Caenorhabditis elegans: one gene and its partners. The protein of the gene in region 3 purifies or fractionates together with the protein of the main gene of each other region. This does not show direct contact. Each region holds a gene or a part of one and is shown on either strand. Other genes may lie near its edges. The genes, in order: acdh-9, uggt-1 and pbs-3.

What was found.
Region 1: the proteins of pbs-3 (region 3) and acdh-9 fractionate together in Caenorhabditis elegans (co-fractionation; one large-scale study listed by BioGRID). This does not show direct contact.
Region 2: the proteins of pbs-3 (region 3) and uggt-1 fractionate together in Caenorhabditis elegans (co-fractionation; one large-scale study listed by BioGRID). This does not show direct contact.

Annotation. Positions count from the first base shown.
Region 1 is NC_003280.10:843,066-852,934, forward strand, and holds acdh-9 (Isobutyryl-CoA dehydrogenase, mitochondrial), read right to left. Parts: upstream 5,539-9,869; 5' UTR 5,536-5,538; coding exon 5,469-5,535; intron 5,419-5,468; coding exon 5,318-5,418; intron 5,267-5,317; coding exon 5,094-5,266; intron 5,050-5,093; coding exon 4,834-5,049; intron 4,787-4,833; coding exon 4,624-4,786; intron 4,516-4,623; coding exon 4,283-4,515; intron 4,228-4,282; coding exon 4,125-4,227; intron 4,080-4,124; coding exon 3,906-4,079; 3' UTR 3,799-3,905; downstream 1-3,798. Other genes in the region: F28A10.4 (WSD domain-containing protein), read left to right, coding at 1,209-1,440, 1,527-1,682, 1,731-2,020; F28A10.7 (uncharacterized protein), read right to left, coding at 2,223-2,530, 2,576-2,621; F28A10.13 (60S ribosomal protein L35), read left to right, coding at 5,869-5,952, 6,044-6,145; F28A10.5 (Methyltransferase FkbM domain-containing protein), read right to left, coding at 6,613-7,014, 7,062-7,444, 7,493-7,589.
Region 2 is NC_003284.9:7,490,642-7,503,587, forward strand, and holds uggt-1 (UDP-Glucose Glycoprotein glucosylTransferase), read right to left. Parts: upstream 10,342-12,946; 5' UTR 10,336-10,341; coding exon 10,211-10,335; intron 10,166-10,210; coding exon 10,077-10,165; intron 10,030-10,076; coding exon 9,899-10,029; intron 9,845-9,898; coding exon 9,581-9,844; intron 9,532-9,580; coding exon 8,968-9,531; intron 8,919-8,967; coding exon 8,829-8,918; intron 8,786-8,828; coding exon 8,149-8,785; intron 8,093-8,148; coding exon 7,857-8,092; intron 7,811-7,856; coding exon 6,897-7,810; intron 6,849-6,896; coding exon 6,330-6,848; intron 6,278-6,329; coding exon 5,533-6,277; intron 5,456-5,532; coding exon 5,288-5,455; 3' UTR 5,053-5,287; downstream 1-5,052. Other genes in the region: F48E3.2 (Major facilitator superfamily (MFS) profile domain-containing protein), read right to left, coding at 63-211, 259-447, 516-902, 955-1,085, 1,924-2,078, 2,129-2,327, 2,379-2,444; try-14 (Peptidase S1 domain-containing protein), read right to left, coding at 3,293-3,391, 3,620-3,673, 3,719-3,811, 3,898-4,013, 4,065-4,209, 4,262-4,388, 4,673-4,779, 4,825-4,923; F48E3.6 (DUF4220 domain-containing protein), read right to left, coding at 11,055-11,300, 11,349-11,525, 11,619-11,867.
Region 3 is NC_003280.10:4,952,036-4,960,762, forward strand, and holds pbs-3 (Proteasome subunit beta type-3), read right to left. Parts: upstream 3,393-8,727; 5' UTR 3,353-3,392; coding exon 3,300-3,352; intron 3,249-3,299; coding exon 2,851-3,248; intron 2,802-2,850; coding exon 2,638-2,801; 3' UTR 2,445-2,637; downstream 1-2,444. Other genes in the region: zyg-12 (Zygote defective protein 12), read left to right, coding at 25-204, 248-357, 612-659, 805-889; ndx-3 (Nudix hydrolase 3), read left to right, coding at 1,560-1,649, 1,705-2,199, 2,244-2,381; ulp-2 (Ubiquitin-like protease 2), read right to left, coding at 3,971-4,357, 4,408-4,978, 5,030-5,132, 5,404-5,524, 5,571-5,636, 5,794-5,918, 5,968-6,259, 6,310-6,438 and 7 more. UniProt on the Caenorhabditis elegans protein: Non-catalytic component of the proteasome, a multicatalytic proteinase complex which is characterized by its ability to cleave peptides with Arg, Phe, Tyr, Leu, and Glu adjacent to the leaving group at neutral or slightly basic pH.

The DNA of each region.
Region 1 (9,869 bases), 4.1 Mb from region 3:
AATCCACGTGGATGCGTGTCCTTATAATTGGAACAGATTGTTATCAATGTTTTTTTTTGTTTTTCTTTGAGTTAATGCATTGTGATCATTGTGATTGTCTATTATTGTTTGATTATTCAAGGCGATTGTACAATTTTTTTCGCCGACTTGCTCTTCGCTGATAATTTCATCATCACCTTATAATTATAACCAGCCGTTCGCTTGATTTCCTTTTTCTTATCTAAAAACTTTACGTGGAACGTTCTTTTCCTCAGATTTCTGGACCTTTTTAAGCATCATAAAATTTTCGATATGTTCTTCAAATCATAAAATTCATAACATTCTTAAACTTACCGTAAAATGTGCTGTTTCAAAATTAATCTAATCGTTTTTCGAATTCTCCAAACAAAATTTTTCAAAATTTCCAAACATTTTACACCTTTCTATAGATTTGTTAACATTCATTACATTCAAAACTAGCAAATTTTAAATGTTTAAAGACAAAAAATGAAATCTTACACTATTTTGAGGATATCCAAACTTTTTCTATAATTTTTCAGAGGGTTCTAGAAGATTTTAAAAATTTATCGAATTTCCCAGGAAATTTTAGAATATTTTAGAGTGTCTTGAATTCTTGCAGAATGTTCCCGACTGTTCAGAGTGTCCCAAAAATGGTTCAATTTTCTAGAAGATTTCAAAAACTTTTCAAAAAGTTTTCTCGAATGTTCCAGAAGGGATTTCTAATGCATCACCAAAACTTATTTCCCAAAAATTTCCATCTTCCCGCCAAAATGTTTCCCATATTTACTAAGTAGACCTTCTGAATAGGCTCCTAAAAGTTGGAAGGACATGATCCCGTTATTCTTCTTTTTCCATGGTTTTGTTCAAGTCTCAATCAAAAATAAAGATGATACCGCTTTGAATAACATCAAAACCTTATTAAAATTGGAAAGACAAGTTTTCACAGTTTAGGCTTCTTTATCACGAAGATTCCGATATTTAAAATGCAATAAAGTGATGAAAATGTAGAATGATGGAGCCTCGTTTTAAATAAAATGACACTTGATAATAGTTCAATTCTAGGAATTCAACAAAATTTATAAAATAACTGTTTGATTTTTAAAAAAATTGAAAAGTATCCAACAAATTACGTGAAAACCCAAAAAAACGTTGGATTTGGGGAACAAAGAAGATGGTCCATCAGAAATTATTGTTCACTTCTACTCAATATGGCAATGAACTCCTCTTTCGAGGAATTGTCAAAGTGTGCGAAGAGTCTTGAAGCTGGAATACATGTGCATCGATCATTAAACCAACTTCTCAATCTGAAGATTACTATGGAGATATGCAACTGGTTTGGATTGAAGCAACTCTTGGAAAAGTATTTGGATTCTGAGGATTTTTCTCAAACTGCGATGGTTTTATTGCATAGAATTCGAGTTTTGGAGATGAAGCCGACCGGTAAGTGTTTTTTTTGTGGAAAGAAAACTGAGCCACACTTTTTTTTTCAAAAAGTTGCTGCAGAAGATTTAAAAATTCAATTTCAGACCCTCGAAAGCGCTTTGCATCGGAGTCTTATTCTTCTCAAAAAATATCGAAACGTTCACCGATTCCGTATAGAAAAGCAGTAACTCTTCAGACAGACTGGATAATAGAGCCCCCATCAGTTCCTGAAAAAGTTCCTGAATTGATTGACGTTTCTGGTTAGTCATCTCTTCCAGACGACAGTATAATTAATCTTTTCACTTCAGAACTTCAAAATCTGGAACAATTTGAGTACGAAAGACTGCGCCCAACACTTATAACTCTCACAGCAAAACGGTTGAAATCGTTCATGGATCGTAATCCGGAAATTGAAAAAATCGCCGATGGGCTGTTCAGGCGGCATTGCCAGGTTGATTGCCCGGAAGACATGAAGTACAAGACAAGCACAGAAACATGGAGAACTATACACGATGTGCATATTAACTGGAAAATGTATGAAGAGGCTTTGGCACGGGATGACGTTGAATGTGATATAAGTTGCATCGATCTTGAATGAACAACTGTTTGAACTGGGTGGTTTTTTCTTCCGAGCGGCTAAATTTTTTCAGAACACGTTTTTTTTTCAACAAACTTGAAGCATAATATATAGCTGACACTAAAAGGGTTAAAAAAAACCGACGAACACACAATAAAGGTTTTATTCATTAAAAAAACATTATCTTTTTCGATTTTCAAGTCGCATGCCTAAATTGCATAGATCAAGCAATTTTGGAGCGTTTTGTAGCCTCATGGGAAACAGTGTTCTCCTCGCAGATGTCTTCAAAATGCTCACGATCCGGATCGTCTTGTCCGACTCCGGTACGCCAACTCGTACAGCAACAAACGACACTTGCAGCGACGGATACAATTATACAAATAATGACGACAAAGAGCATGAGGATGAAAAAGCCGGTGTTTCCATACCATCGGCAGTATCTGTGCTTGACGCAGCATTCCAGATACATAGAGTTAGTCCTCATGCACGTGTCGTCTTCAACACAATCATCGTACTCCGAAGAAAGAACATCTGAAATAAAAACGATGCACGCATTATCAAGACTTTAAAACTTACATTGTTTACAGTTCTGAGCGCTCTCACTGCTGTCGTACCAAGCCATTATAAAAACGTAAAAATTTAATAAATCGGCAGAACTAGAACTGATCAAACTAGGAGATAATGGACAAAACAATTAGAAAGACACGTCTTTTATTTATTATTAGAAAACGTGAGAATATAATCTTTACAACTGCATATGTTCGATCATTACCAGTTGTATCTATCGGTTTTTGAGAACTTGCATCATGTCGCTGTTTGATAATTCAGATCTTGCCGAGAAATGTCGATCATGTAAGTTTTGAAGATGTACCGACACTAGGCGCTTTTGTGACAACAAAAAAGTAGCAGCCGACATTTTAAACCCATTTCTGAAGATAATAAATCTAGCAGCCGAGTCCCAGGGCTGCTCTGCTAAATCGCTTCCCTGCAGCGTCCGACCTCTCACGAGCTTTTTTCTAATGAATCTCTATTTCGGACACCGCTAGCAGCGACTACTGTCTTGATGACGCCTGCAAAAGTACCAACGCTCTCTGGAAAGAATGCTGTGAGCAGACCAACTACTGCGAGTGGTACATGACGGTTGAAGTTGCAATTGCCGTCATTTGCATTCTAGTTTTTCTGTTTTTCTGTGGAATTGTTGGATCCATTGTTTCCTGCGTTTGTACCGGAATTTGCTGCTGTGCAAGAGCTGCTGCTGGAGAAGACGGCGATCTGGAAGGTTTAGAGCTAGATTATGAAACTGAAAGTTTGACAAAAGATTCGGAACTCAAAATGTCTTAGAACTATAAATTTATTTTTTGAAACAATAAATCATTTGAACCCAATTATTAGAATTAGGTAAAAACGTAGTTTGGTAAAATTGTTGCCGACAGTTGACAGGATCGGCTTTGAAACAATTGAAGTTGAGCACCCCAAACTTTTCGGGCAGTTTGGATCAACTCTTGAGTGAATATCTACGACCAACCAATGAATGAAAATGATCCATGTGCTCGTGTTCAAGTCTTTGAATGGCTTCATGGAGTTGCTGAGAATCCACCAAAATTTATCGGTCCTGCTTTGCCAACTGGGCCAAAATATATGAGCCTACTCATTACCGGGATCAGGAACGATGCTTGGTTGTGATGTTCTAGGGACGTGAAGCTCCTATCCACACAGTGAAAAGAAAATTGTGATAGAATATGCTTACAAATAAAAGAGCATTAATTTTTAGTCTTTAATTTCGTTTTTGTGCAGAAAAAAGGAAAATCTAAAACATTTATATTCAATAAAAGTTTGTAATAAATAGCAAAATGCCATGAGCAATTGGAAATACCCATTTCTAAAATTCCTTGGAGACAAATATGGCTCAGGAGCTCCAGAATACATCCTTAGTGAGCAGGTCCCTGCTAATCAACAATCTCATCATTTCATTGGTTCCTTCAAGGATTTGGTGAACTCGGATGTCGCGGAGGTACTGTTGAACCGGATAATCTTTCAGGAATCCGTAGCCACCGAACATCTGCAGAGCTCCGTTGACGACCTGGAACAAGAAACTTTGTCAAATGTCGGCTGAAAAATTACTCACATCGAAACAATTATCAGTGGCGTGAAGCTTCGCCATTGCACAAAGAGCCACCTTCTCCGGATCATCATTGTCTAGTTGCTCCGCGGCGTTTCTAACGATTAGTCTGAAAATAAGTTCAAATTTTTTATAAAAGTTTCTAGTTGACAAGAAAATCTCACCTGCTAGTATACAATTTTGTGGCGAGCTCCGCAAGCTTGAACTGGTTATACTGGAAGTCTGCCAAGCTCTTACCAAATTGTTTTCTATATTTCAAATGTTCAATAGCTAAGTCCATGCTCCTTTGAGCAGCTCCTAGTGAGCAACTCGCAATGTTAATGCGTCCTCCGTTGAGCCCAGCCATTGCGATGTTGAAGCCGAACCCGTCTTTTCCAATTTGATTAGTGATTGGTACCTGGAAAATGGAAAATGGAAATTTATACAAATGCTCAGGGCAATCGTTTCTTTTATCGGAAAACAGTCAATTAATACTTCTTAAAATTAAAACTTCTAAAACGCTCACCTTGCAATCCTCAAAAGTCAAAATCCTTGTTGGTTGTGAGTTCCACCCAAGCTTATCCTCCTTCTTCCCGTAACTGAATCCCTCAGTTCCATCCTCAATCATAAGACAGAAAATTCCCTTGGCTCCCGGAGCTGCACCATCCTGCCGCATCATAACGAAGTAGCTAAATTTTTTACAATATTTAAACAGAATATCTCAAGAAAGACCTACTTATTTGAAGTTCCTGCTCCACTGATAAAAGCTTTCGATCCGTTGACAACATAATAATCTCCTTTTTTGGTAGCCGTGGTTCTGATGCTTGCGGCGTCGGAGCCCGCGTCTGGCTCTGTGAGACAGTAGGATCCGAGCTTTTTGAAAACAGCCATGTCTGGGAGCAAGTCCTCTTTAAGCTTCTCCGGGCCGTAGGTATCCAGCATCCAGGCGCACCTATAAGATATATAGTTCACTAGTTTTTTTTAAAGCTAACTTACATATTATGAATTGAAATATAAGCTGCCGTCGACACGCATCCCATTGAAAGCTGCTCAAAAATTACTGAAGCATGAAGTCTAGAGAGCCCGGATCCTCCATGGTCGCCACTGCAATAAATGGCTCCGAATCCCATTTCTCCAGCTTTCCGGAGCACGTCCATCGGGAGCTCTCCCTGAAAAATTTCAAATCATTTTTTAAAAGAATGTTTTTGGGAAAATCTTACCTGCTTATCCCAATCTGCCATTTTTGGGTACATTTCTTTCTTGGCAAATTGATGGGCGGCTTCCAAAACATCTTCGACGTCGCGTTCGAGTCCAACACCCGCTGAAAGTATATTTTCTTAAAAAATTGAACTTGTAAAATATAAAACCTACGCCTCAAGCAGTAACTGCTGGAATTTCTGAGCCGAAGACCTTTGGAGAGCACATTTCGTAGCAACATCTGCTGAAAATTTGAAAAAAAAATCAAACGAAAATCACGAAAACCGAGAGCACGTGGTAGAAGAAAACTAAAGTGGACTTTTTGTCCGTTTGGCAGGCAAGAGAGGGAGAGATAGAGACGCAGTGAGAGTTGCAGGCAAAATATGAAAGAGACGCAGAGGGGGAAAGTGATAGTTTGATCGCATCGAGACAACTGACGAATAGAAGGAAAGAGAACGGTGGTCAGTGATGTTTCCTCCTTTTGTTTCTTATAGATTGACGTATTGAAATTTGAAATTAAAACTCTGCAAAACAAGAGGGCATAGTCAAGTAGGAATATAGCAACTGGCAAATCATGGGCCTCAAGAAAAAGATGTTTTATAGAAACTGCAAACCTCTTGCAGACACTAGCTTTTCGAAAAAATTGAAAAAAAAATTTGTAAGTTTTCAAATAAAAATCCGATCTGACCCCTTAACCTCTATTTGTTCTATTTAGATTAAATCTCAAGCCTATATGAAAGAGATTTCAGACTTCAATCAGAGTCAAACACCAATTAGTTCTTCCGGATGCAGTCAATGCTAAAACATTTGTGATGCGTCATCAAACATCAAGGCGTCTGCAGCAGCTATGATTTCACCGACCTTTTTCATATGAATCAAAAAAAGTTTTGTATGTTAAAGTTTTTTTTTGTAAAATCAATATAAAATGTTTGGCTTGAACAATCTGTGTTTGGTTATTGTTTCATTTTCAGATGAACTAGTGAGTTTTTTGGGTATAGCTTTGCCTTGAAAAAAGCATAAAAAGGTCAAATCAATGATTTATTATTGTAATAATTTTTTTTCAATATAGACTTTTGATTAAGAAAAAACGAATTCTACTAATTTTCCATCAATTAATAAAAGCTGTGAAACTCAGTGAAAATTAGATGCTGCAAAATTGAGTCAAAAAGAATTTCAACTAGAAACGGATAAAGCCGAAAAATATGAGTACACGTTAATAAGCACTGATTTGGTTTAGTGTCGAAATAAAACCAAGAATTCAATTTACATAAACTTTATTTAAAACACAAATAAAATAAAATAAAAACAAAACAAAAACTCATACAGTTACTGGTGGAATGATGCTGGCCAACGGAGTAACTTCAAACTGTGCCATACAAAAGTCGTTGATGAGACTGTACTCACAGCATGCCTCGCAATATGGGTTAGGGTCCACGTTGAAGATACGGAAGCCGTATTTTGCCATGGTTTGGAGCAGTTCAAAGTGATTCAACGGGGTTCCATGAATTTCAATGAAGATCTGACAAACAAAATAGTCCTTGATCAGTGGCTCCAAAGCAGTGAACTCTCCATTTTCAATATCCATTTTCAACAGCTCAATCTCACTTCTACCAGACTTCTCGAGCATCGATGAGATGGGCAGATTGTCCGGGATTTTTCCTACGAACAATTGGCCATTGATATTCTTGTATGACTCTTTCGTCTTTTCGTTTTGTTCTCCCTTAATTTACAGAGTGAATATTTAAAATTCAAACGTTTTAAACTCACAATATCTGCTCCAAGTATGATGCATTGCTTCCCTGTAGCTTTGTGGATGTGTTCATCGTATTCTATTTGATTGTTAAGTCCCAATGACATCAACGTGCACCCATTTCGAACCATTTTTGGATTGCAAACATACTTTCCCCCGTCTCCTGACTCTCCAATTCTTTCCATATTCTCACAATGAGCTTCCGTCTTCACCTTCGCGTAAAAGTCCTTGTTGTCATTTAACTTTGCTGCAGCAATCAGTAGCTTCCGGGCCTGATCCGCAGATTTAAAAGAAGATTTGCGGACCTCTTTTGCAGAATGGGAAGTGTAAAGAGCTGCTGGGTTAAGCACTCGAGCTTGTCGTGTGAAGCTCGGCAAAGAGCATTGTTCCAATTTACGATCTGAATTTTCCCGTGTAACTAGCATAACTATGATCTTTTGAAACTTACTGATTTGATTGGACGTGATAAAAATAGACACTGAAATAAGAAGCAGCAGAACTAGCAAGAAGATGCTCAAGGAGCTCGAATTTTGTTTACGGAGCATGCCAGTCTTATCTTAAACAGTGACAAGAATCGTTGAGATGACGATGAATGTAAACTAAGGACTGACAGAGAAACGGATCAGTTTTTGGGTGTTTTCACGTGAAACGTGTTTGTGATTTTATAACTTACCAGCCGTTCGCACGCGCCAAGGCGCGTGCTCCGTCTGGCTTGAGATTTTTCCAAAAATTCACATAAAAATTATTGTAGTTTCTAGATTTTTAAAACATATTTTCAGCTTGGTTTTTGAATTTTACAACTTGAGGTTGAAAACAGCATTGAAACAAATGTCATGTTTCGGATTATCAGTGAGAATATGAGATCTTCTCTTATTGAGTTTCAGTTTAAAATATTTGGGAACAAATCGTGAATTTGATATAATTTCAATTTAAAATTACTTTTTTGAATAGTGTTTGTTCAAAACTATTTCACTTTGACAAATAAAGAAATGTTGTATATTGTTATTGGTCGAAGTTCAATCGCTTCCAGCATGGCACAGCTGGTAGCGCGCGCCATTGGCGCGCGGACCTTTTGGTTCGATCCCCGCGAGGGCAAAAAAATTCTAAAATAGCAAAAGTGTTGCTGAGAATGGTCAAACTACTGGAGATGTCTAGCGAGACCCAGATAAGAGCAGAGGTGCTTCTGAGAGGGTTGGTGATTCAGGGGTAGTGCGAGCACTATCTCCTGTCTCTTATGTGGCACATTGTTGTGTTTCTGTGGTTATAATAATACTCTCTCCCCCCATACTCCTACATATGGGGGCGAGTGAGAAGGCTGGAGTTGTCGAGCGAGACCTCAGAAGAGAGCTGAGTTGTCTAGCGAGATAGCAGAGAAGAGATGAGTTGTCGAGCGAGACCTCAGAAGAGAGCTGAGTTGTCTAGCGAGATAGCAGAGAAGAGATGAGTTGTCGAGTGAGATAGCAGAGAAGAGATGAGTTGTGGAGTGAAACCTCAGAAGAGAGCTGAGTTGTCTAGCGAGATAGCAGAGAAGAATAATAAGCTTTATTCAAAGAACTTCATTAAAAACGATATTGGTGACAATATTAGAACTGAATTTTACAATAAGACCTTCTTTGGTACGAACTCTTGATAGAGCAACATATAGTTGTCCATGAGTGAAAACATCGGTGGGAATCCAGAGACCGATTTTAGAAAAGGATTGTCCTTGGGCCTTGTTGATCGATAATGCAAATGATAAGCGAACTGGGAACTGTGTGCGCCTGAGTTGGAAAGAGATGTTCTTATCATCATAGCAATCGATTCTTGGAATGATTGTGAAATGTCCTTTCCTCTCGCCAGTTGCAAAGCGACATCCAAGTGAGTGACTGGCCAATGTTTCGACAATGAAACGGGAACCATTGCAAAGGCCAGCGGAAACATCGAGATTCCTGAGCAGAATGATCACTGAGCCTTTCTTCAGCTTGAGAATATGGGGAGGAAGAGATGATGGGGACATCTTGTTGAGAAACTCGGTGGGATAGTGCATAGTATCCGCTTGATGTTCCACGATCACTTCATCTCGTGACAGATAGATTCTTTCCTCGCCAACCATTCGATTGTGAACATCGTCATTCAGTTGAGCAACGTCGACGTTCTTAGGTGTAAGGATGACGTTGTCACATGGATCAGACGTGGTTGGATCGATAACTGCTCCGAACACTTCCTCGACGATGTTGTGATCGCACATGACAGAGAGTGGGAGTGTAACCTTTGAATCAGAGTCATTTGCAGATCCATCGCCAACATTGAGGAGGAATTGGATCCAATCCGAGTCTCCAGATGTTACTCTCATATTTGAGATGAGATGCAAAATTTGAAACTCTGTCCATAGTGGTGATCTTTTGATGCATGCGTCTACTTGATCAGCTCTAGAGCTTCTCTCCACCACAGGTAGGATTTGGCGAAAGTCTCCTCCGAGGATCAGGATCTTCCCACCAAATGGCTGATCGATCTTTGTGAGATCCCTAAGCAGTACATCGACCGTGTCGAGGGCTGTCTGAAAGTTGAATGAATGATTTGATTAGTACGATCAGAATCACTCTAATACCTTGGGAACCATTGATGCTTCATCCCAAATGAAAACGTCGTTCTCCGCTAGCTCTTGTGCTTCTTTCAATTGCCTCTGATGAAGAGAAGACTTGCATTGATTTCTAATATCAAGCTTGAAAAGGGAAGCGGATGTTCGACCGAGTGGGAGCAAATTGGCTGCAATTCCTGTCCACGCCGTACACGCTACCTGAAAATATGCAGTATTGAAATAACTTTAGTATGTTTGGTTGAAAGTT
Region 2 (12,946 bases), on a different chromosome or scaffold from region 3:
TACTGTTGCTTCAACATTCTGCTTGTTTTCTTTTCTAGGTTATCAAATGAAACAAACCTTACCAATTGTTTTGTAAAGAGGAAATGTCAGAAAAGCTAAAACTAATGCAACTGTGTGGTTAAGAGCAAGAACCAGGGATTGCGATGCTGCACGGAAGTTGATAGGTACCAGTTCAGAAGTAATGAACCAAGCAATCGGTCCCATTGCAACACTGAAAGCAAAATCTGTGGCGCAATAGTGGAAATTAGAATAGTTTACCTATAAGAAATTCCATGAAGTATAAGACAAATGATACATCCGTATCCTATCCAAGTCCAATAATGTGACAAAATTGCGCTAAGTGAGAATACTAAAATAGCTGCGATATTTACACTGGCCGTCCCAATTAGGAGCCATTTTCGTGAATATTTTTCGACGATGAACATTCCAACAATTGTGCTCAACGAGCTGCAATTCAATTTTTATTAGTGATTGCTCGTTTGAATTCCCGCAGAGAAAGTGTAAAAATGTATCACCTCAAAAACAACATTCCTGTTGATACACTTTCCGAAAGTTCGTATGAGAATCCTGCATCCATGAGAAAGTCGGTAGAGTAAAACACAACAGGCCATACTGATGCTGTCAACTGCATTGTTGCAAGCCCCAACAAAAACCCACGACGAACTGGCTGATTTGCCATTATGTCAAAGAGTGAACCATTCTTTTGATGACCCATTTCCTCTTTCTCGAGTTTCAAGTCATTTAAAACGTTCATTTTTTCTTCCTCGTCTTTGATGTTTTGATAAAACTGCAGTGCTCGTCCCGCTTCAGTAGCGTCGTGTTTCTTCAAAAAAAGATACTTCGGAGATTCCTTGAGAAACACCGTCAAGAAACAAGCGACTGATGATGGGATAATGGATACCCTGAATTTTCATTTTTCTAATAATGGTATCTGGAATTTTATTATTTTATTACGCGATAAGCCCGACGATATTTTGACCCAGGATAGACTGCATTCCAAAGAGTCCTCCAATGAGATTAGTTATCACGAAAGCCATCTCTGCATTGAATGAAATTAGCCCTCTCATATGAGATGGTGAGCTTTCCTGAAATAGGTATAATTTACGATTTGGATCATCTTGTTGCTCGCTCGTTTTTTGTTGTTTGTCGCTTGCTTGTGTGTCGGTTTCCCATTTTCTCATTTTTCATTCTCTTTCTTTTTTGAAATGCATTTCATGGAAGAAGAAGCCGCGCATTTACTTTGTAGATGAGAAGATGAGCTTTTATGGTTGTGCTACTAGTGATGGTGTGTGCCATTAGTGGAATGAAAAAAAGAAGATGAAAAAAAGGATGGGTTTGAAATTCGAAAATTCGAAGAAGGGGTTTTTTTAATTGAATAGTTGTTTGAGTTTTACTTACTAGTATATAAAAGTATATAAAGTGTGTTTAAAATATGGAAAGTATAAATATAAAACTATTTTAAAGTATGTAAATGTCATATTCATGTTTTCGTATTCACCATCTCATGCATTTTTGAAAAAAAAACAGAAATTTACAGACATACTTTTTAAATTAATTAACAGCTTTACAATAAAAAGTTTTGGTGGCGCTGAATTGGGTGTGTGAAAATTGTTAGCTAAAACCGTAATTACCAATCGCCAAAAATGCAAATTGCCGAAAATGTTGAGTTTCAAATTATTTAAAGTTTTAAGGCGGAAAAATGCATTTTGAGACAGAATTTTCATTTTTCAAGTTTCTCGTGTCTTAAGCCTCTAAGCATGGAATATTTTGTAAGACCCTGCAGAATACTGAAATAAAAACGTTTGTCACGGCTAAAATTTCAAATTCTGCTAAGATTTTCACAATCTGGCATTTTCGGCAATTGTCAAACATATTCCAAAACCCGATGATAATTCGGATAGACTGAATACAATTTAAACTTACTTGAAATAATAGAATCAGACCATTCATCGAAATTGCTGCCGAAAGCGACATAACCAGTCTAGAAAACCCAAACATCAGTGGCATTTTCAAAATTATTGCAAAGAGCGCTATAAGGGAAGATAGCAGACTTCCACAGGTGCCAAGAAACAAGGTCCCTAAAATATTAACTGTGAAATATATCTCAACTATAAGTAATATAACTCACATTTTCTTCCTATTCTATCTGCAACGCCAGCCGATATCACGCTACCAGCCGCGAATCCAATAAAATAAATTGCAAGCATTGCTGACCAGGCCCATTCAAATTCCGAGTTTGATAGTGTATATGGCTCATTGGCTGACTCGTTGAGAAATATTCGAAAACTTCCAATAGCTGTGTTTGGATAGGCATTCGTATATCCCATCTTGAAATTTTGAATTGAAAACAAAAAGAAAAAAAAACTCGATGGTCTTACTTGAAAAATGGCAGTAATTGCAAGAACAGCAGATAATATGAGTAGTTTCCAATTGAGTTTTTGCATGTTGTCACTGGTTCTGAAACTTTTTCTGAAGAAGTGAATTTTCAATGAAAAAGAAACAACTTAAATAAGCCTTTTAACTACAAAATACTGAAAGAAAAAGCTGAGGAAATGGGCGAAACCAATGGGAAATTCATTTTCTATGGCAACACAGAACGTGTATAGTTGTAGCATAGAGTTCAAAAGAGCAGACATCAAAACGCACGGCTTCAAAGAATTTTTGAACAGACAACTCATTAATTAGAATAAGCTAAACACTTATTTATTTTCTACGTTTACTTAGTTTTTTGGGTAAAATTTTGGTAATTGTGAAGTATACCAGGTTCAAAAACATTTTGCAATACATTTTCCGTTCATTTCTTTATAAAACAATTATTTAATTAAAAACTGAAATTGATTTGTATTTCCATGCTCAAAAAACACTGATCCCGAGGATAATATGAACACAAAGGGTCACGGACACATTTTCAAAATGGTTAACATTTTTGGGCTAGGTATGTACTACACAAGTACCGAAATATAAAACATTCGAAGTAATGAGAAGTTCGTTGTTTCAAAAAAATAGAATGTTTCTTTTTCATTTTTTCTGCAACAAACATCTGATTGATTTTCAAACACAATTATTACACTAAAAGATTCTTGAAAAAGACCGATGTTCATTTAGGTTTTTGCAACAATTTTAATTGAAACCAAAGGATAGAATGAAAGATGCAAACGTAAGAATAGAAGTACAGAGCAAACACAAAATGTGCACACGAAAATCAATACGTTATAAGGGACCAACAAGTGTTTATTGCATCATAAAAACATTTATTTCAAAGGGAATGAAGAATGAAAAAGTGGAATTTAAATTAGAAGCATTTGTCCTGTGCTTCAAAAACGCTAGCCTTGTCCACATTCTCAATAGCATGGACAAATGTATTGTCGCTAAAGACAACAAATTGCATGGTCTGGAAATTGATAATATTGGAAATCCACATAATGGAGAAGATTATTTACTTTGCCCCTTGCCCCCCGTTTCTTTTAATCTCATATTTCCTCCCGAAAGTCCAAAAGATGAGAAATCAATCACCGGCGTATTTTGTTGTCTGATAAGATTCTCAACACTACAAAATGCGGTTTTTTATAAAGAATTTCTATTACGTAATGTATTCAGAATAATTGCTCGTTGATTTTACCTGAACTTCTGAGCAGTTGACAACCACCATTGTGCTGTTGTCTTCCTTGTCCATCTATAAAAATCATAAGTTTAAAGACAAAATAAGCGATAAGCCTACCTCACGCCCGTAGAGACCAGAAACAATTCCTACTTGAACATATTTATTGTTTTCTACATCCAGAACACATTCCAGTGGTGCTCCTATATCATCCTGAATTTGAACAATTACTTTTTATAAAAACTAAGTAATGCAAAGTTTGAAAGTGTGTATTTCCAAAAAACAACAAAAACGCTTACCCAGCAAACACGACCTGTAGAGTTACTGTTAACTTCTGAGAACATGAGATTTTCTGTGTCAGCGTGAACATCAAGATCCAATACTTGGACTTTGTGTGAAGTAGCGAAGTCTTCCACTAAAAATATAATAACTTATTTAGTAGCTACATAGTTTTGTAGTTACGAACCATCTTCCGTAGTTTCAAATCCAATCACTCTACATTTGGAATCTTGAAGATCCCTTGGCACAATTGTACGGTAAGTAGCATCAGTCAAGCTTGGTTTGAAGTTGAGCCGTGCAACTCTTGGTGGGTGTGGCTCCTTATCGCAAAACTATAAAAATAATTTCTCTAATAAGAGTTGCAAATACTAGAGTCTTTTTTACATGATCTTCATTAACCGCATCGATTTTCATCAGAGCCAAGTCGCCGTCAATTTTCACAGCAAGCATTGCTTTGTTCATGGTAGCAGAGGAATCCTTCTTTTTGATAATAGCTTGTGCAATAAGGTTCCTAAATAAATATTAAATTGCCTTCAAATAAAAATCCATTTCAGCGTTTCTTCTAAACCAACAGTTGCTATACATATATTTCTATAAACTATCTCTGGCATAGTTTCGTCTAAGTTTTCAATCGAAAATTGTCAGCACATTCCGCACAACAAGCCAATTCACGAATCTTTTGCGTAGTCGAATTCAGAGCAGAAAAAGTGTAAAATGTAAGAGACTATAATGCGCTATGTTCGTTCGTAAGCTTCTTATTTTGCTACGGGAATATTTAAAAATTTGAAACCATACTTTCTGGTGTCTGGGAAACATTTCGAGCTGGTTAGCACAACGGATGGAGACAAAAGAGTTCCCGTGCAAGTTGAGATATTCTTCAGTTTGGTATCCTTAGTGAGTACCTGAACATAAAACATAAAATTCGAAGCGAGTTGAGCAAGTCTTACCTTCACCAAGTACTGATGGCGTTCCCATTTTGCCGGGTCCGCAATGTACATTGAAAACACGAATGCAAGTAGAGAGGAAACGATGACCGCTCGAAACATCTTCTTTCGATCAAATGATTCGAATGAGGATTTGACCCGACGAGCATCGCATTGATATTGTTGTAATATCCGCTTTCAGAAAAATCAAGCAAATGCATTCTTTAATACACCCACACATCAAGAAAAAGAAAATATTTATTGGATAGAGAGAGGCAAAAAAATGTTTCAAAGATTCATCACAAGTTTGACAATATTTGAAAATGAAATTTTGAAAGCTCTCATAGTCAAAAGCTAAAAAATAAATAGCAGAAAAAGCGAATCGACTGATTTGGAAAAAAATATACCCAGAGTTTTGAATATCATAATGGTGATTGGAAACATTTTCAATAAATAACGGGTAAACTTGGCATATGAAAAGATTAATTTAAAGTTCCGTGTGAGAGTCATCATTTTCAGAAATGACATTATCCGAAGGGTTATCAGAAGAATGTCCAGAAATGACTTCCCGGATTTCGTCATCATACGTTTTCCATTCTCCAATAATTCTGGCGGCTGAGTCGAGCTTTGGCTCTTTTGTGAGCGGGTTGTTGCACTGAAAATTGTTAATTGTTCACGGAAATTTAAAACAGATCAATGGCACAGCATTTCAGTTGTGTTCAATCAACTTACCAAGTCAATAGTCTTTGCATTCTTCTTGCTTCCATCATCGCACCAAGTCTCACACCAAAGCCACTCTTGTGGAAGCGATTTGATCTTAACCTGATGGATCATGTTATTTGGCAAGTCTTGATCCAAGTTAGCCAGACTGTTTGGATCGCCAGATAGTCCTTGATATTGTCCACGAAGACGATCTCCGGCAGCGATTTGACGGAACTTTTGAAGATCAATAACGTAGAGAGCACTAATGTGATATCTTCTCCCAGCGAGATGGTTCGCCCAATATCCTTGCTTCCAGAATCGGAATCCGTCCATCTCCTTTCTACTTTCACAGAATGGCACATATCCGTATGGCGCATTTCCAAGATCAAACTTCATCAGCTCCATCAAATCAGCACGCACCACCTGGTCAGCGTCCACAAAGATCACCTTTTGAACATCAAGTGGGAAGAGTACATCAAGGAAAAGAATCTTGAATCCCCACATAATACGTTGTTTCTCCTTCTGCTGGTGAAGCCACCTTGGCCACTTGTACTCGATCAGTTCATACTCGAAACCATAGTGCTTGGCAAGAGTTGGAAGTGTCTCTTTGAATTGTGGCGACAGGTAGTTCTTGAGAAGCCAGAATTTAACTGGATGCTTCGTGTTCTTCATGACCGAGACAATCATGATTCTCATGAACCGTTCGTACAAGTGACCGGATGCGAGAGAAAATACATTGATCACTTCCTGGGTTTTTTCTTTGCTGCTCACCAAGCTGAAAATAACATTATGAGATTATTTCAAAAGAGTTTAAACAAAATGCTTACTTGCTAAGACTGCTCCAAACACCTTCTTCATCGTCGGAAAGAAGATTTCTCTCCTCCATGCCTTCACGTTTTTCAACACGAACTCTTACTGATTTACCAGTGAATGAGTCAATAACAACTTGAAGCACATCCTCCCCAATCTTCTCCGCTCCAACATGCGATCCAATCTTGTAAATCTCACTAGATTTTCCATCACGGATCTCTAGTTTCCAAGCACCAGGATTTGCTTTAAGTTGGAAATATCCTAAATTAGCCATAACGATTGTATCAAATTGTTTAGGGTTCTTGTCCGTTCCCAAAGTGAACTGCAGACCGCGTGGTGGTTGACCACTAACTTCGTCGAAACACTGTCCATCGAGAAGTAAGTGTTGGAGTGCAAACTCGGCAGTGACATCTCCGTTGGCTTGTTCCATCTTGATGTTATCCAAATCATACTTGGCAGAAACGGCTTCCACTATCCATGAGTCGGGAGCTTGCAGCGAAAGTGTCAGAAGTTGCTTACTGGGAAGATTATCGAACCTGAAATTGTGAAATTGAAATTGGTTTTATTAAATAGAAAGTATTCACCTGACAACATTTGTGTTCAAGTTTCCATTGTGATCGAAACTCAATTCAGAAGCAGCAGCGTATCTGTAGAATCTCTTCAACGGAAGTTCAGAGTGCTTATCTTTTGGATTCATCACAATTTTGATTTCGCAGTTTGTAACCTTTTTAATCAAATGGAGAATCGATCCGAGTTTTTGTGCTTCCATAGTGAGTGGATCAACAACGGCAAGAACGTCAACAGCTGGTCGATCCATTTCATCAGCTGGAAGTGTGACAACACTGTGCTCATCTCCTTGGATGCTAACCCATGTGCGTTTCTGTGAAGAAGCGTGCTTTCCAACGTGTCCAGCAATCGAGAAAACCGTGTTTGATCCAACTCCGTTGGAAACGTCAAACTCCCACTTCTTGAGATGAGAAGAAATAACTTCAGCACCTCTGCTCAACAACATACTTTCCAAAAGTTTGAAATCAGCAGCTTCGAAATGTTCTGAGCTTTCAAGAGGTCCAACTTGGAGAGCATTTCCAACAACAACACGGCCACCAGATGAGATATCGAGTACTTTTTTCACAATCTGAGACTCCAATCGAGTTCTTTCACAGTCAAGTTTCTTCTTATCGGCAAGGAATTTAGCAGTATCCATACCACCAACACTAAGATCGTCAAATGTGATTTTTCCAGAAATGAAGTCAGCTGCATACTCCTCATTGCTCAACTTGAGAATCAATCGCTTAGCTTGGTCCATCGGAAGAAAATCAAGAGCAGCTCTAATGTACGAAGAGATGCTGTTTGACTCGCATGCCTTTTCAACACTTTCTGGATTGAAGATGATTCCAACTCTAGAGTTGGCAGAGTTTTTCAATATTTGAAGTGAATTGTAAATGAAACGACGTCCCGATGCAGCCTCGGCGTCAGCGACCACCCATAATGTGACTGGCTGAAAATTTATATGCATTCAAACTGAACTGAAGTAAAGTTCTTACCAAAATAGAATCGGCTGATGCTTTTTGTAAGTACTTTGTAGTTTGGAGAAGACATCCAGCTTTGTCCGAATCCGAAAGGTTTTCCACATCCTTCAATGATTTGCAATCCATTGATCCAAGAATTTCAACATAGGTCTTCTTGCTTGGAGCGGATAAAATTCGCTTGTTAATTCTTGGCATGACATCCTTTTGTTCGAGAACCCAGTTTCCAACATTCATACGGTCGGTCAGTTTTCCTGAAAAGTAAAGAAAAATGTAAAGAGGAATCGAGAGTGCTTTAAAAAAAGTATACCTTCCATAATGGCTCTTTGGATTTTTGGAGAGATCTTCATAACTTCCATCATAATAGTCTCTTCAATATTGTCGCCGCGAACCCCTTCATCGTCCAAAATGAAACCGTTGAGGAGAACCTTCGGTGCCGAGTTAAGACCAGTCTTTTGCACAAATTCAAATCCATGCTTGCGTCCTTTATCATAATCAGAGTTGACTCCAAACACATCGGAGAAGCTGGCATCACTGAATTTAGCCTCGAAGAATTCTTTGATATCCTCAATAGTTGGGTCTTTAGAGCGATAGTCATCAAGGAAGTTGTTGAGAACTTTCAGTGCATCGGCATTTGAAGAGTCGATGGAAACAAAGTTGAAGAGATTGAGAAGGGCAACTCCAAGATCTGTTTCTCCACTGGCTTTAGTATCCTGGTTAACAGCAAAGATGTATCCGATTCTCATAGCAATATCGTGACTGTTAAATGTCTGCCCAATTCTAAGGAATTTCCGGCCTTCGGAAGTACTTGGATCCACTACGAATACCAAACTGAACAAATTACGTGCAATTGGTCGGATCATTCCCGGGTAGTATGGTTGGAGCATAAGCTTGACACTGTTTCCCCATTGTTTGTACTTTTTGTCAGTGTCCAGATTATTGATAAACTGAAATTGGTTTTTGAGAAAAGTATTTTCTTCGTAAGCTTACGAATGGATATCCCTCTCTGTGATCGACTGCATAAGTTGTCTTCTCATCATCAGAAGTGTCCATTCCAACAAGAATTGACAAATACTCGCGCTGAAATTTCTTTATTGTTACACTTATTTCTGTATTCATGGAAACTCACGTTAATTCCCATACTATGGAAACCATCGGCGAGTTTATTCTCTTGCTTGAGGAGATCAGCTAACTTGAACAAATCAAGGCTGTTAATATCTTGATTGATTCCATTGATGTACAACGATGTTTCTCCAACTTCAATGCTTGCCTTCTCTAGCATCTTGCGATTTTGGAGAACCTCTTTCCTTAAAAGATCTGAGACTGACGTCTTTGCAAGAGCACGAGCATGAGTTGGGAAGTTTTGGGAGTATTCCTCCAGAGTTCCAATAGCATCAGCTGGCCCTGCATTGACAATTTTCTGCGCTGCTTGGTAACTGAGATCTTGAAGTTCCCATCTTTTCAATGGAGTCAATTCGTCGGATTCCTTTAGGTTCACACGGAATGATTCAATGGCATCTACGGAATCTGGGTGAAGTTCTTTGAGAAGTTTAATGTTGAATCCAAAAAGATCAGCTTCGTCTTCTTCTACATTTTTCTTTTCACTGCTCTCGTCGACAGCCTTGTACTCCGTGTTCTTGATAGCAAGTTCTACACCGTATCCGGAAAGTGACACTGGGTGAGAATCAGTTTTCTGAAAATACTTCCTTAAAATGGGGTTTCATTTTCCATTTTAAGTATACCTTTGAAAAATGACGGAAAATGAGCTTGGTCTTTTGCAGTTTGCTCAACTTTTCCCAAGCTTTGGCGAAAGAAGTTGTACCCAGCTCTCCGTACAAAATCGCTGCCTGCTTCAAATCCTTCTCACCAAAAATATGATCCGACTCAAGCACTTGGCTGTTCGTTTTTGCGTCCTTGATCATTTTTTCCAGCTTAGTGTATTCACATGAAACTTGTTCGCCGACCACGACAAAGACATCACATTTCTCTCCATATTCAACAGCAATCTGGAGAATTTAATGTTTTTCATCTAATAAAATTCATTAGTATAAAGAAATCACCTGCTGGAAGGATTGAACACGTGGAGAATACTGGCGAAGAGCCAAAGCAAACTTGAGAAGGTCCACAGATGATGTTGACAGTACTTTGCCTGCCGTCTTGATTGTGTACTCGTATTTTTGCTCATCCGTTACTGAAAATCAAAGATATCATATTGCCGATTATTGACAATTCACTCACATTTTTCCCAATTCAATGTACCGACATCTTTGTTTACAATATCGATGAATTTTACAAACAATTTCTCATTTTCTTCCGCGATGAACTCACTGAAAAAACGCTTCGTATTTTTTCTAAGACTTTTAATAACTAACCTTGCTTCGGCTAAAAGTGACGTTGAATCCCAATTTGCTTTAAGAGATGTGTGAACTCCTTTCTTTTCGAGAGCTGCGAGAACCGCAATATGGCAAAAAAATATTAATAAACCTGTTAGGTTCATAATTACCTGGAAAATTGAAAATTTCATTTTTTTAAAGTTTCTTCACAGAAAATAGCAAGACAAATAGAAAGAAATGTGTTATTTAAAAAATAAAATTCTAAAAATGAATAGTTTGTGAATGCGTGCCAGTAATGCTGACGTCGGCTCAATAAATGCGTCAGTGATCGCCTTTGCACGTTTGGTGGCTGTGCACAACCACGTCGGCCACGCTCGCAAGGAAACATGAGGGAAGGGGGCAACGAGAGTGTTCATCTATTCAAACAAGGAGAGGATTAGAGAAAAAGGGAATGTGGAAAGAGTCTCCATAATTAGATGTCGAAAGGCTGCTCTTGAATAAAAACGTCATATTATCGATTTGGAAACTCCTAAAAATTATAATTTTTGTTAAATGCCTATGTACTGGAATATACTTTGATAGATTTTGAGTTGCAAGGAACATTAAGACAGAATACGTTTATTTATATTAAAAATATTTGACAAAAATACTGAGATGAGAAAAACTGACATTTTAAAAACCAAAAAAAAATGCATTAGAAATGAAAAGTTTTAGATGGGAAATTTGACGTGAAGAAAAAATTCCATCTGATTATCAAATTTGTATATTACTTATTTATGTACAATCTTTTGATTAAAAAATGATACAACAAATTGTAGAAAAACAAAAAAAAACGTTTTGGTTTCCCTTTAGCAACATCTTTAGAAATTTATTTAGAAACTATTCAGTTATCACAATTATCTAACGTCTCATCACAATCATCCTCTCCGACTTTTTCCCAGTCTTCATCTGAACTTGAATACTCGGATTGGTTAACTTCGTCACCTTGATGAGATATGTTGTAGTTGAGTTTATTGTACTCTTTCTCCCAATGGATATGAACACGAATGTCGTTAACCAGCACAGCATACAAATCTTTAATACTTATAGCAGTTACAACGTTGTAGTACAGGTTGAACAGCCATCGGTCCTGAAACAACGATATGATAAATGTATGCCAATTATGCTTAAAACATACTCCTGGTTCTTCTGATGGTATGAACGTTGATATGTAAGCTGTTGACGCTAAGATGCTTAAAGGCATAACAAGCGTCCAGCGGTAAATAAAAACACATTGTTCGGCTATATTAGTTACGAATGAAACGTACACCATCATCATCACAAGATTTGATATGACAAACAAGGAATATGAACCCTGAAATATGATTTTTTGAATCATTAAAAAAAAATGTGTCTAATATAAAATATCTAATATCTGGACAAAAAAAAGACGAAATTCACAACTCACTCTTGGGTGCCAATTCCATTTCCAAATAGTAACTTGACAGGCAGTACTTATACCAATGACAAGAATATATCCTACAATAAGGCTTCTTTTCCATGAAGTACCAAGTTCTCGAAGGTCGCTTGGTCTAGTTGCAACTCGCTTTTTGATGGTTGAAGCGCAAGCAAAAATACAGAAAAGTGCAGCAATTAAGGGTGCTGGATAAAACTCTTCAGGGTTCCATAGATTCTGTACCGTACTGGGTTTGCCCATGACAAAACTGATAGCTGATGTAAAAGTTATCAATGGGCCAACCAAGTAACTGTTCGAATATTGCCATTCAGCCATTTTGTGCCGAAGTCTCCTAGTAGAACGGAACACCCAAATGAATAGGAAGAACAGTCAGCAGACGAGAGCAGAAGGGGTGGTCACTTAATATGAGAAGAGGGTCGTCAACACATGACGACGTGGCAGATGTCGCTTATCTGCATCTGCTCAGAGACAAAGAGACAGGTGAAGAGAGCAAAAAAAAACGATAGAAAACTCCGATAAACATAAAGTAATTCAGTTATTCAATATTCAACCAAAAAAAAGGTTTTGTTAGGTTCGAATGTTTTGAAAATCCGAGTTGTCTCTTTTGAGAGCGTGAATAAATCGTTCCAGTTTTTATTGAATATGTTAACACTCTGAAAAACACTGGTAGTAGCTGATATCACATGCCAAATGGCAGCGTGTGAAACTTGAAAACTGAAGGAAGTGAGAAAACAAAATGTCGAGCTTCATCTAATAATATGATTTTGGGTTTTGTGCCCTGTATCATGTTTTCTTGGTAATTGTGGTTTTTGCCTGGCAGTCAGATTTTGAAGCACTTATTATACTTTCTTGTAAATATATCGTTTGAGAATATAAACCGGGATGAGATGTTCTGAATATTATTTCAACATTCAATGAAAATATTATTTTACTGAAGCCTTATTATTAAACCGGGATTTTAAACAAAAATAATTGAAATCGCAACGAAATTGCATATATCTTGGTGGAACACCCCAAAAGAATTCAGTGTGTGCAACATTTTGAATCAATATGACAATTTTGTGATCATCTTTTCAAGAATTTTGAAACCGTATAGCAAGTTATGTCCTACTGAAAATTATATATATATATATATATATATATATATTTTATTTAGTAGCATTGCATTACATTTTTCAACTTTTCTATCATATATTTTGGTTGACGTTTGTTCCATTTAAAAACTGTCAACCAGAAATGTTTGCTGATTCTTTTTCTATCGTATTTAGTTAATTTTTTATTGATATCTTCAAGATGAAGCGAGTTACGTATAATCTTTT
Region 3 (8,727 bases):
TTCATTAAATATTTGTATTTTCAGGAATACAATTCTCGTCCAGTGAGTGAAGACAGTATGACTTCTGTTCAAGCTTTCAAAGAAATGAAAGAAGAAAATGAGAAGCTTCGCCAGAAAGTTGAAAAATTGGAGATTGAGCTCAATACAGTAACCCAAGGATTCGAACAAGAGAATCGGCTTTTAACGAGTGCCTCGCATCAACAGGTGCCCCAACAAATTGAAAATCGGAAAGAAAACATTGTTTCAGGTTTTGAATCGATCTATCGACGAAGTGATGAGCATGAGAGCACACGCTGGATCCGAAGAGCCGCAGACTCTGTTGGATACACAGAAAATGAGTGGAGCACTTCCATGGAGGTAATAGTTTTCATTATTTTTAAAAGAGAAATCTAGAAATATTAATTTTCTCTCCCTCCTTGCGGTTTCTTATCATTTTATTTTTCTACGGTTTCAGATTTTCGTGATATTCCCACTATCTCTCTATGTTCCATACAAGGTAAATGTGCACGTCTTTTGTTTGCACGAATCTGAGTTTTAGTGTCCTTTGTGCTCACCCAGTTTTTTTGTTTCCATTGCGCCCTCAATAACACCCTCACACCACTAATTTTTAGATCACTTGCTTCCGAGACCCGTCGAGAATTGCCGACGGCGATGGCTAGGTGAGTAGGAGCACTTTGTTTTAATGTTAACTTTCTAATACGCTTTACGCTTGCACCCTTATGTGACTGATAACAGCTTTTACCACTATGACATTAACCACAATTTTATTTTTAATCTATTTTTATTCCTTTGTTTTTTTTTCAGCATTCTCGTCCTTGGATTCCTCGTCTTCATCGCCTGGATGTTCATAAACATAAACAGCGCACTGAATGCTCCTCCAAATGCCTAATCATCTCTACATCCCTTTGTTCTTCTGTATTTTCTGTCAACATCCACCATCATCATGTGTATAGTGTGCTTTACCCTCATTTGTCCTTTTTTCTCTCTTTCGTGTACAGTAATGTGCTCCCCACTTTTCTGTTTTCTTTTCGGGTATACGGCACGGGATCCGCAAATTTTCTTTCTTCTACCATTTGACAGTTCCCCCATTTAATTCCTTATTTATTTATTGTAACCTGCTTTCAGACTGATATCTATGACAGGAAAGCGGTGAGCTCCAGGCTGTGATACCCAATCCTTGCTCCTCCAAAAAGTTCAATTCTATGTCATTCTAGTTTCTAATCATTCAGTTTAATTGATTAATTTTGAGAATCTCGCGTTGTTTTCGAACACCGAGAAGTGTCTGTAAATTGTGCAACCCCCGCCTCTCCCGCCCACAATCTACAGTTTTTGGCGTTTCCTTCCAAAAACTGTACACATTCTATTCATATAAATTTCTTCTGTTCTTCTGACTCCTTGAACCCTTTATGTGTTCACAGATTTATTTTATATTTTTTGATGAAGAAGTTTTTACAAAAGATGTTTTCCATTTGTTTTGCATATTAAGAAAGGCCTTGCCTATTAGTACCTCACGTTCTCAACTTTTATTATAAAACATTTCGTATTTGATTCAGAACCAAATGAGATATGGACTCAGTGCTCAGAGGAGTCTGATCAATGTTTGTAGTAGAAGATTCTTCGGGAAGGATGCCAAAGAACAATTTCTGAAGGTATTTAATACTGCAATCATTTAGCCAACTAGAGACCAAGAATGCTCATTTTCAGAATCTTTCATCTATTCCCGCATCGAAACATCCTCGCCTAGTCTCGGATTCCGACGCGAATTCGGCAATGTCTGTTCTGATTCCGCTTGTGACTGTTGACGGTCGTGATTCTGTGCTTCTAACGAAACGATCGATTCATCTCAGATCGCATCGTGGTGAAGTATGTTTTCCAGGTGGTCGAATGGATCCAGGAGAAACTACAACTGAAACTGCTCTCCGTGAAACGTTTGAAGAAATCGGGGTTAACGCTGAAAGTGTGGAAATCTGGGGTCATTTGAAAAGTGTGATAAGACGGCAAGCGGATTTCAATGTTACTCCGATTGTTGGATACATTTCCGATGAGCGAGTTCTCGAGAATCTGGTGGTCAACTCTGATGAAGTACAAGCTGTTTTCACGATTCCAATTGATGAACTTATCAAAAAAGCCGGACTAACTAAATTCCAAAGCAAGAGAATGAAGTACACACTGCCTTCGTTCGATTCCACGGAGTTCAAGGTTTATTTTTTAAATAATTTCCGAAAAAATGTTAAGTTTTTCAGGTCCATCACAATGCTCCGAACGAGTATCTTCATTCCACCCAGCGAGTTTGGGGGCTTTCTGGTGTAATGTTGCATCAAGCATTGACCCTGCTGAATCCAGATGTCTATAAGCATGATTTAATTGTGAAATTTTTCTAATTCTTAGGATCTGTGTAGTATTTTTTTTGTTCGTAGAATTGTTGCCATAAACTTCGGGAGACTAAAGATAAAACATTTACAAGTCATAATGGGTGATAAATGTATTCTCGATATTGAAGAACCAACACAAAAGAATTTAAAAGTTGAAAAATACGGTAACCGGTCGGTCTGGGGTGTGGGGATGAGACAGGGAAAAGAGAAACAAATAAATTAGATTAAATTGTATACACTTAATGTTGGGAACGGGGAAAATTTCTCAATCCATACGAGCCTTGATAGTTGAGACGTTAACCTTATCCTTAGTGATTGTGTACACGACTGCTCCCCAACCTGATGCAGCATCACGCTCCAAGCAAGAAAGAATCGACTGAGCAGTAGCCTCGAAGAGCTCATCCGGCTTCATGTTCTCGCGCCAGAAGTCTGTAAAAAGTATTTAAATTGAACGTTAAACAAAATTCAAAAAACTCACTTTCACAAACTCCAAGCAAGTACTCTTGTCCCGTTCCGACAGCAACGAAATCGCGTGGAGCAGATACACATCCGATAGTGTCCATGCAGCAGATATATGGCTTGTTGGTGTCGTCCAAACCAGCAACGAGTGGCTCGGTGAAATAACTGCCAAAGCGGTGCTGATAAGCCAGATTCGAGATCATCTCGGACAACACTTGTGGCTTGATGTTGCGATTCTCACGGAGCTCATACAAATTCTTGCGGAACATAATTTTCTCCAAGACTGTGCGAGCATCGGATTGGAATCCAGCAAGTCCTACGTAGACCTTGTCTGTCACCTTATGCACTTTCTTCTGATCAGTTGCAATTGTTGTCATCTGCTCTCCAATACGAAGATCCGAAGCAATGCACACACATCTGAAAAGATAAGAATAAAATAATATTTCAACCATGAAATTTAAAACTTACTCGTCTCCAGCCATGGCGACGACGGTTCCACCAGTGTAGCTCATAATCGACATTTTTGAGTGTTTTTCTGGTCTTTAAGACGAAGAGATATATCTGAAATTGAAAGAGAGTGTGAGAATGTCTGGAAATTTAATAAAACAGAGAAACAATGAAGTGAAATGAGCGTTTCAATCGTTTGGCGGACATTTTGCTTACAAATAGGAAACTGCGGCAGGGAAAAGTGGGCGGAGACTAATAGCGTGCCAGGGTTGCTGAAGAGAACCTATGGAAATCGACCATTTTCTTCAGACAGAACATGAAAAAAATTAATTAAAAACGCGAATTTATCGACGGAAAAACGCATACACGGTAAGAAAACAATCTGAAGTCAAATAGAAAATTTAGAAACCGTTGCGGAGATGTGAAATGGGTGTACAAAAGGAAAATTGATGGAACAGAATATTGAAATTTTAATAAAAGGAGGAAAAAAGAGTGGAGATCAACTGAAAATATTAAATTGAGTGATCAAGTTATAAAGAAAAAATAACAATTGTCACTTTATGACGGAGAACGCAGAAATAAGGAGAGAGCGTAAAAATGGGAGGATAATAAAATCTTTAAAAAATAAATTAACTAAGAGAAGAAAATACCGGCAATTTTTGAGAGGGGAGACAAATTTTTGATCAAAATGCCTAGTAAGCGATTGGGAAGTTATCCTCCGGAATTCTGAGGCGACGAACAAGTCGAGTTATTGGCATTTCCGCCAATCCACGTGGATTCATGAACGTCGGATCATCGTTCATCACATTTCGGTGTGGCGGGCTCAAGGAATAGTGACGTGCATAATAGTCTCTGTGCCGTTTCGTACGACGTTCATTCACTGCACTATGACGACGTGCTTTCCTAAGAGCTCCTTCACGCGACAATCCACATTTGTTCTCCCTTTCGAACTTGGCGAGACGGCTTCTCGCAGGTTTATCCGCTTGTTGAAGAATCAAATTGTAAACTTTGTCTCGCATCAAGTCACACATTTTATTGGCCTCCGGGAAGAACTTTGACCAGTCAAAGTTTGGAAAATCCTGAATTAAAAGTGTTTATTTATTGTGATGTTTCATGAAGATTTACTTACGTTCACATTGACCGGACGGTTCGGATAACAGAAGAGCCCTTCAATGAAATGCAATACATAAAGTCCACAATCATAAAAGTTGTCTTGGATTGGAGTGTTTTCAGCACGAGTCACGACAACTCTCTCCTCATCGTAAATCGTTGGATTCTTCGACGCAAATTTCATTCCAGGAGCCTTAGTGTTTTCATACAATTGAGCCAAATAAATCTTGATGCAGTGACACATATGATTCTTCTTGCTTGGATCGAGACCACTCAACGGATCGAAGAATACAATATAACACTTCGGAGCAGCTCTGGAAGCTTCCTCATTCGACATATCGACAATTGCACCCGATGGATTGATAACAGCGATGACGAGCCAGTGAAGATCTTCGTTGATCGGAATGATAATATAATCTTTGGCAAGAACATCGAATTTTCGTGTCCAACGGAGAACTCGAGGGCAATTGTCTTTCACGATTTTTATGTGTTCTGGTTCGATTGGTCGTCTTTTGGAGAAGCACAATGGTGGAAGTAGGCGAGTCAGATTGACGAATAAGAACGTGTTGCACATATGCACGGATTTCATTCTGTAATTAAATTATAATTTTTAAAATCCAATGATGTTTAATGAAACTTACAGCTCGGACGAAAGCATAAATGCAATATAATTCAGCATAAATGCCATGACGCTGTCATTCAGGAATTCTTTGCGATCCAGTGTTTTGATATCCTTGACGAGCACTGAAATTCATGGATTCTATGAGGGAACAGTTACAGTAACCTATTTTGCGCAGACAGTACTTTGCTTGGTCTCACCACAATAAAGTTTTGTTAAATGCAAATAGGTATGCGCCTTTAAATAAAGTTTATATTATTATTTCTTGGTGTTTTTCAAAAATGAAAAAAATGAAAAAAATTGATGAAAATCCAGAAAAGTCTTGAAGCTACAATATTTTTTTAAAGGGGCATAACTGTTTGAATTCAACAAAAATCCGAGTAATATTAAACTTACACACTACAGGATCCATTCCCGTTGTGCAAGAGCCAGAAGGTGGGAACGTGAAAAGTTGCGTATCTGGAGGTATTTTCTCAACAACTGGTCGAGTTGGAGGCAGCGCTGCAGTCGGAGTACTCTGAAAAAAAAAATTAAATCAAAAGAGGTTTATCCACGATGCCTACCGGCAAACATGAGCCCTGTTGTGTATTTGGAAACGACACTTGGGGAAACGTGAAGTCACCATGAGCCTGAAAATTTAATAATATTTGAAAATACCCTAGAAAAGAGCCTCGGAGCACAGTGTTTTAAATTTTTTAGATGAACAAGGGAACAGAAAGAAAAATGGGGAAAATGGAGTATTTTTGTTAGTATAGGTTGATTTCGGTGAGCAAGAGCAAACCAAACCTGTTGCCAATTATTGCTTTGTGGGAATGAACTTTGAGGATAGGGCTCTAATGGGTTGAATCCGATGGTTCCGATGCTCGAATTCCCATCTCCGATGTGCAATTGTTCGAAAGAGGCGTTGTGCACTGAAAATCAATTTTAATGATTTGAAATCAGTGCCGATCATCTAACTACCAGTGTTAGGATGAATTTCATAATGCCAGTTGTCACTGAAGGCATGAAGAGCATTTGCCATATCAATGTTGTACGCTTCTTCTCCCAAATGACTTATTTTTTCAGTGAGATCCTCAACACCATCATTTCCGGAAATGTGTGTAAAAGCGACGGATTGAGTAGAATAAATAGCTCCATTTTGTCGTTGGAGAACTGGTGGAGGAGCTTGCAGTTGTTCAAAACTGACGAAATCGTTCGGTTGCTTTGTACTTTTCATCACATCTTCATTCTCGAAATTTGACGTCGGGTGGGTCTACAATTCATTCAAATTGCAGTCACAGGACGCCGAGACCTTTGACATACCATTGCGTTATCCATATCTGGCCATCCCATGAATTCTCCCATATTTGGCTCCGAATTGATCTTTGGCATCTTCAAGTTCTTCGCACAACTTCCTTCTAGCCAAACACTCCGATCATTTCGATAAATAAGCTAGAATAACTCACTGAGTTTTAGACTTAAAATATGACAATACAACGAGTAAAGAAAATATAAATTAAATGTGAGTTCAGATAGTGGTGGAACATAAAGGGCGTTATAAACACTGTGTCCGTGGCTTGGGTATTTTAGGTGTCGAAAAATAGTTGTTTCTTACCTTGAGAGATTGTTCCGTGAGTTTCCTGAAAAAAAAAGAACTACAATTTCTGGATACGATTTTCTTTCAACTTACCTCTTCTTTGCATATGATTTTTCTTGAGTAGCAAGAGATGCATGTGCTTTGCCAAATGAATTCAATACTCTGGTTCCTCGGTGGTCGAAGCCTGAAATGAGATCAAATTAATCTTGGATTCAAATATTTTCAGCCAACCGTTTGTGGCAACTGCTGTATGTTTTCGTCCATGTGGATTGTCTTCTACTCTCGCATATTGAATAGAACCGTTGTGACACACAATTTTAGATAGCTTCTGATCAGCAAGAAACTGAACCCATTCTCGAGGAGTCATTTCACTGAGTTGACTTGTCAAATAAACTCGACCGGTTTGGTGACGACGTTGTAGCTGCTCTTTGAGTGATTGTTCCCAAACGGCTTGGACCTGAAAACTTGCAAAACTTTAAAATATCATCGTATGAATTCAATCCTCACCTCTTTGAACATTAAGGACTTGGCCACATCGTAATCATAGCTGTGCACATACTCTCGGTGTTCATCATTGTATGAGATCTTCACAAACGTGTCAGGGTCATCGTTCCACGGTTTAAGTATGAATGTCAAATTCCGTGCAAGAGATTTGTTATACAGAAATGGTTTCTCGACGACATCCTTCAAGCCGGTTTGGAGCTTACACATTTTTGTGTAGCTTGAGAGGTTCAAAGTGCAAATGAGTACAGCGGGATTCTCTTGTTGCTCATCTTTCAGCTGAAATTATTAGTTAAAGCTTTTCGAAAATTAAACTCGATAAATTACCGAAATGTGGTCTATCTGATTGAAAGCGATTCCAAAATCTCGTCCAGTGTAGCCCACCAAAGGATCCGCTGCCATGAAAAAGCGAAGGCATATCCGATTCTGAAAATGACAATATAAAATATAAGTAACAAATTAATTCTCGAACTAACCTTGGAATTCTGCGAGATAATTATTGACTTTCCGGATGCCAGTTTGGTGCAATGATTGCCGATGAAAAACTGATCAGCGCAAAACTAAAATAAAAAGCATTTGAATGGTTTTTTCGTCAAAGTGCGAATTACCCTCATTTGCAGCGATTGGTCTAGCTTTCTCGTTCGTTTTTTAATTTCATTAATAGCAGCATTGGCCTCCATTTGAGTTGAATCACTCATTTTGATTTTAGGCCACAAAGAAAAGCTGAAATTACGAAAACTTATGCGAAAATGAAGAATGGCAAAAGCGTTTGAAAATTGGTTGCGGCGATGTGACAGTAGAGCGCGCTTGCATACGCAGCAATTCGTTCGATTTGAATGAAACTTCTAGGATATTGTAGATCTTCGAGAGATGCATATTTAACTAATCACATTCAAAAAGACATTATAAAATCGAAATTATCAAGTTGCAAGCCACAAAATAGAAAAGAATTTAAGAAATTCAATGGCCATTCGAGCATTTTATCCACACCAACTATGGGAAATCAGAAATCGATATAAGAACACCTGTTTCAATTCACTGACCAGTTCGAATGACATTGGAAAAAAATGAAACAAATATTTAGGATAACAACGAAATGAACAGTACCTAATTTGAATAGATGAAAACGTTATGGTAGACCGAGTCTGTAATAAAGGATTGAAATTAGGTTTTTTTCAGGCAACCATTGCAACCGACGCGGATATTTTGATAAAATATATTTACAAATTTCGGATACTTTAAAAATTAAAATGAAAGTTCGAATTGTATATAGTCAATTTGAAAAATGGAAAAACTAGTTGAACTAAACGACTGGTAAACTGGAAAAACTCTGCTTATTCTTTTTATTTTTTGCACCACCTTTTTGTCATGAGAAATTGCAAATTTCCAGTTCTCATATAGTTTTCGATTCCAATGTTCCAGGTCAATTAGTGTGTTCCAATTCCGTAATTGGAACACACTAATAATTATTGAATAACCCTAATCAATCATTTTAAACTGCAGGTTACAATTATATTCACAATAATTACCTATTATCACTATCTTTCTCTATTTCTTTTCCCATATTCCCGAAGTGATAAATAGAAGAAAGAAAAAGAAATAATAAAACATATTTTTATCACTATCCTTCTGCGTCTCCCGCT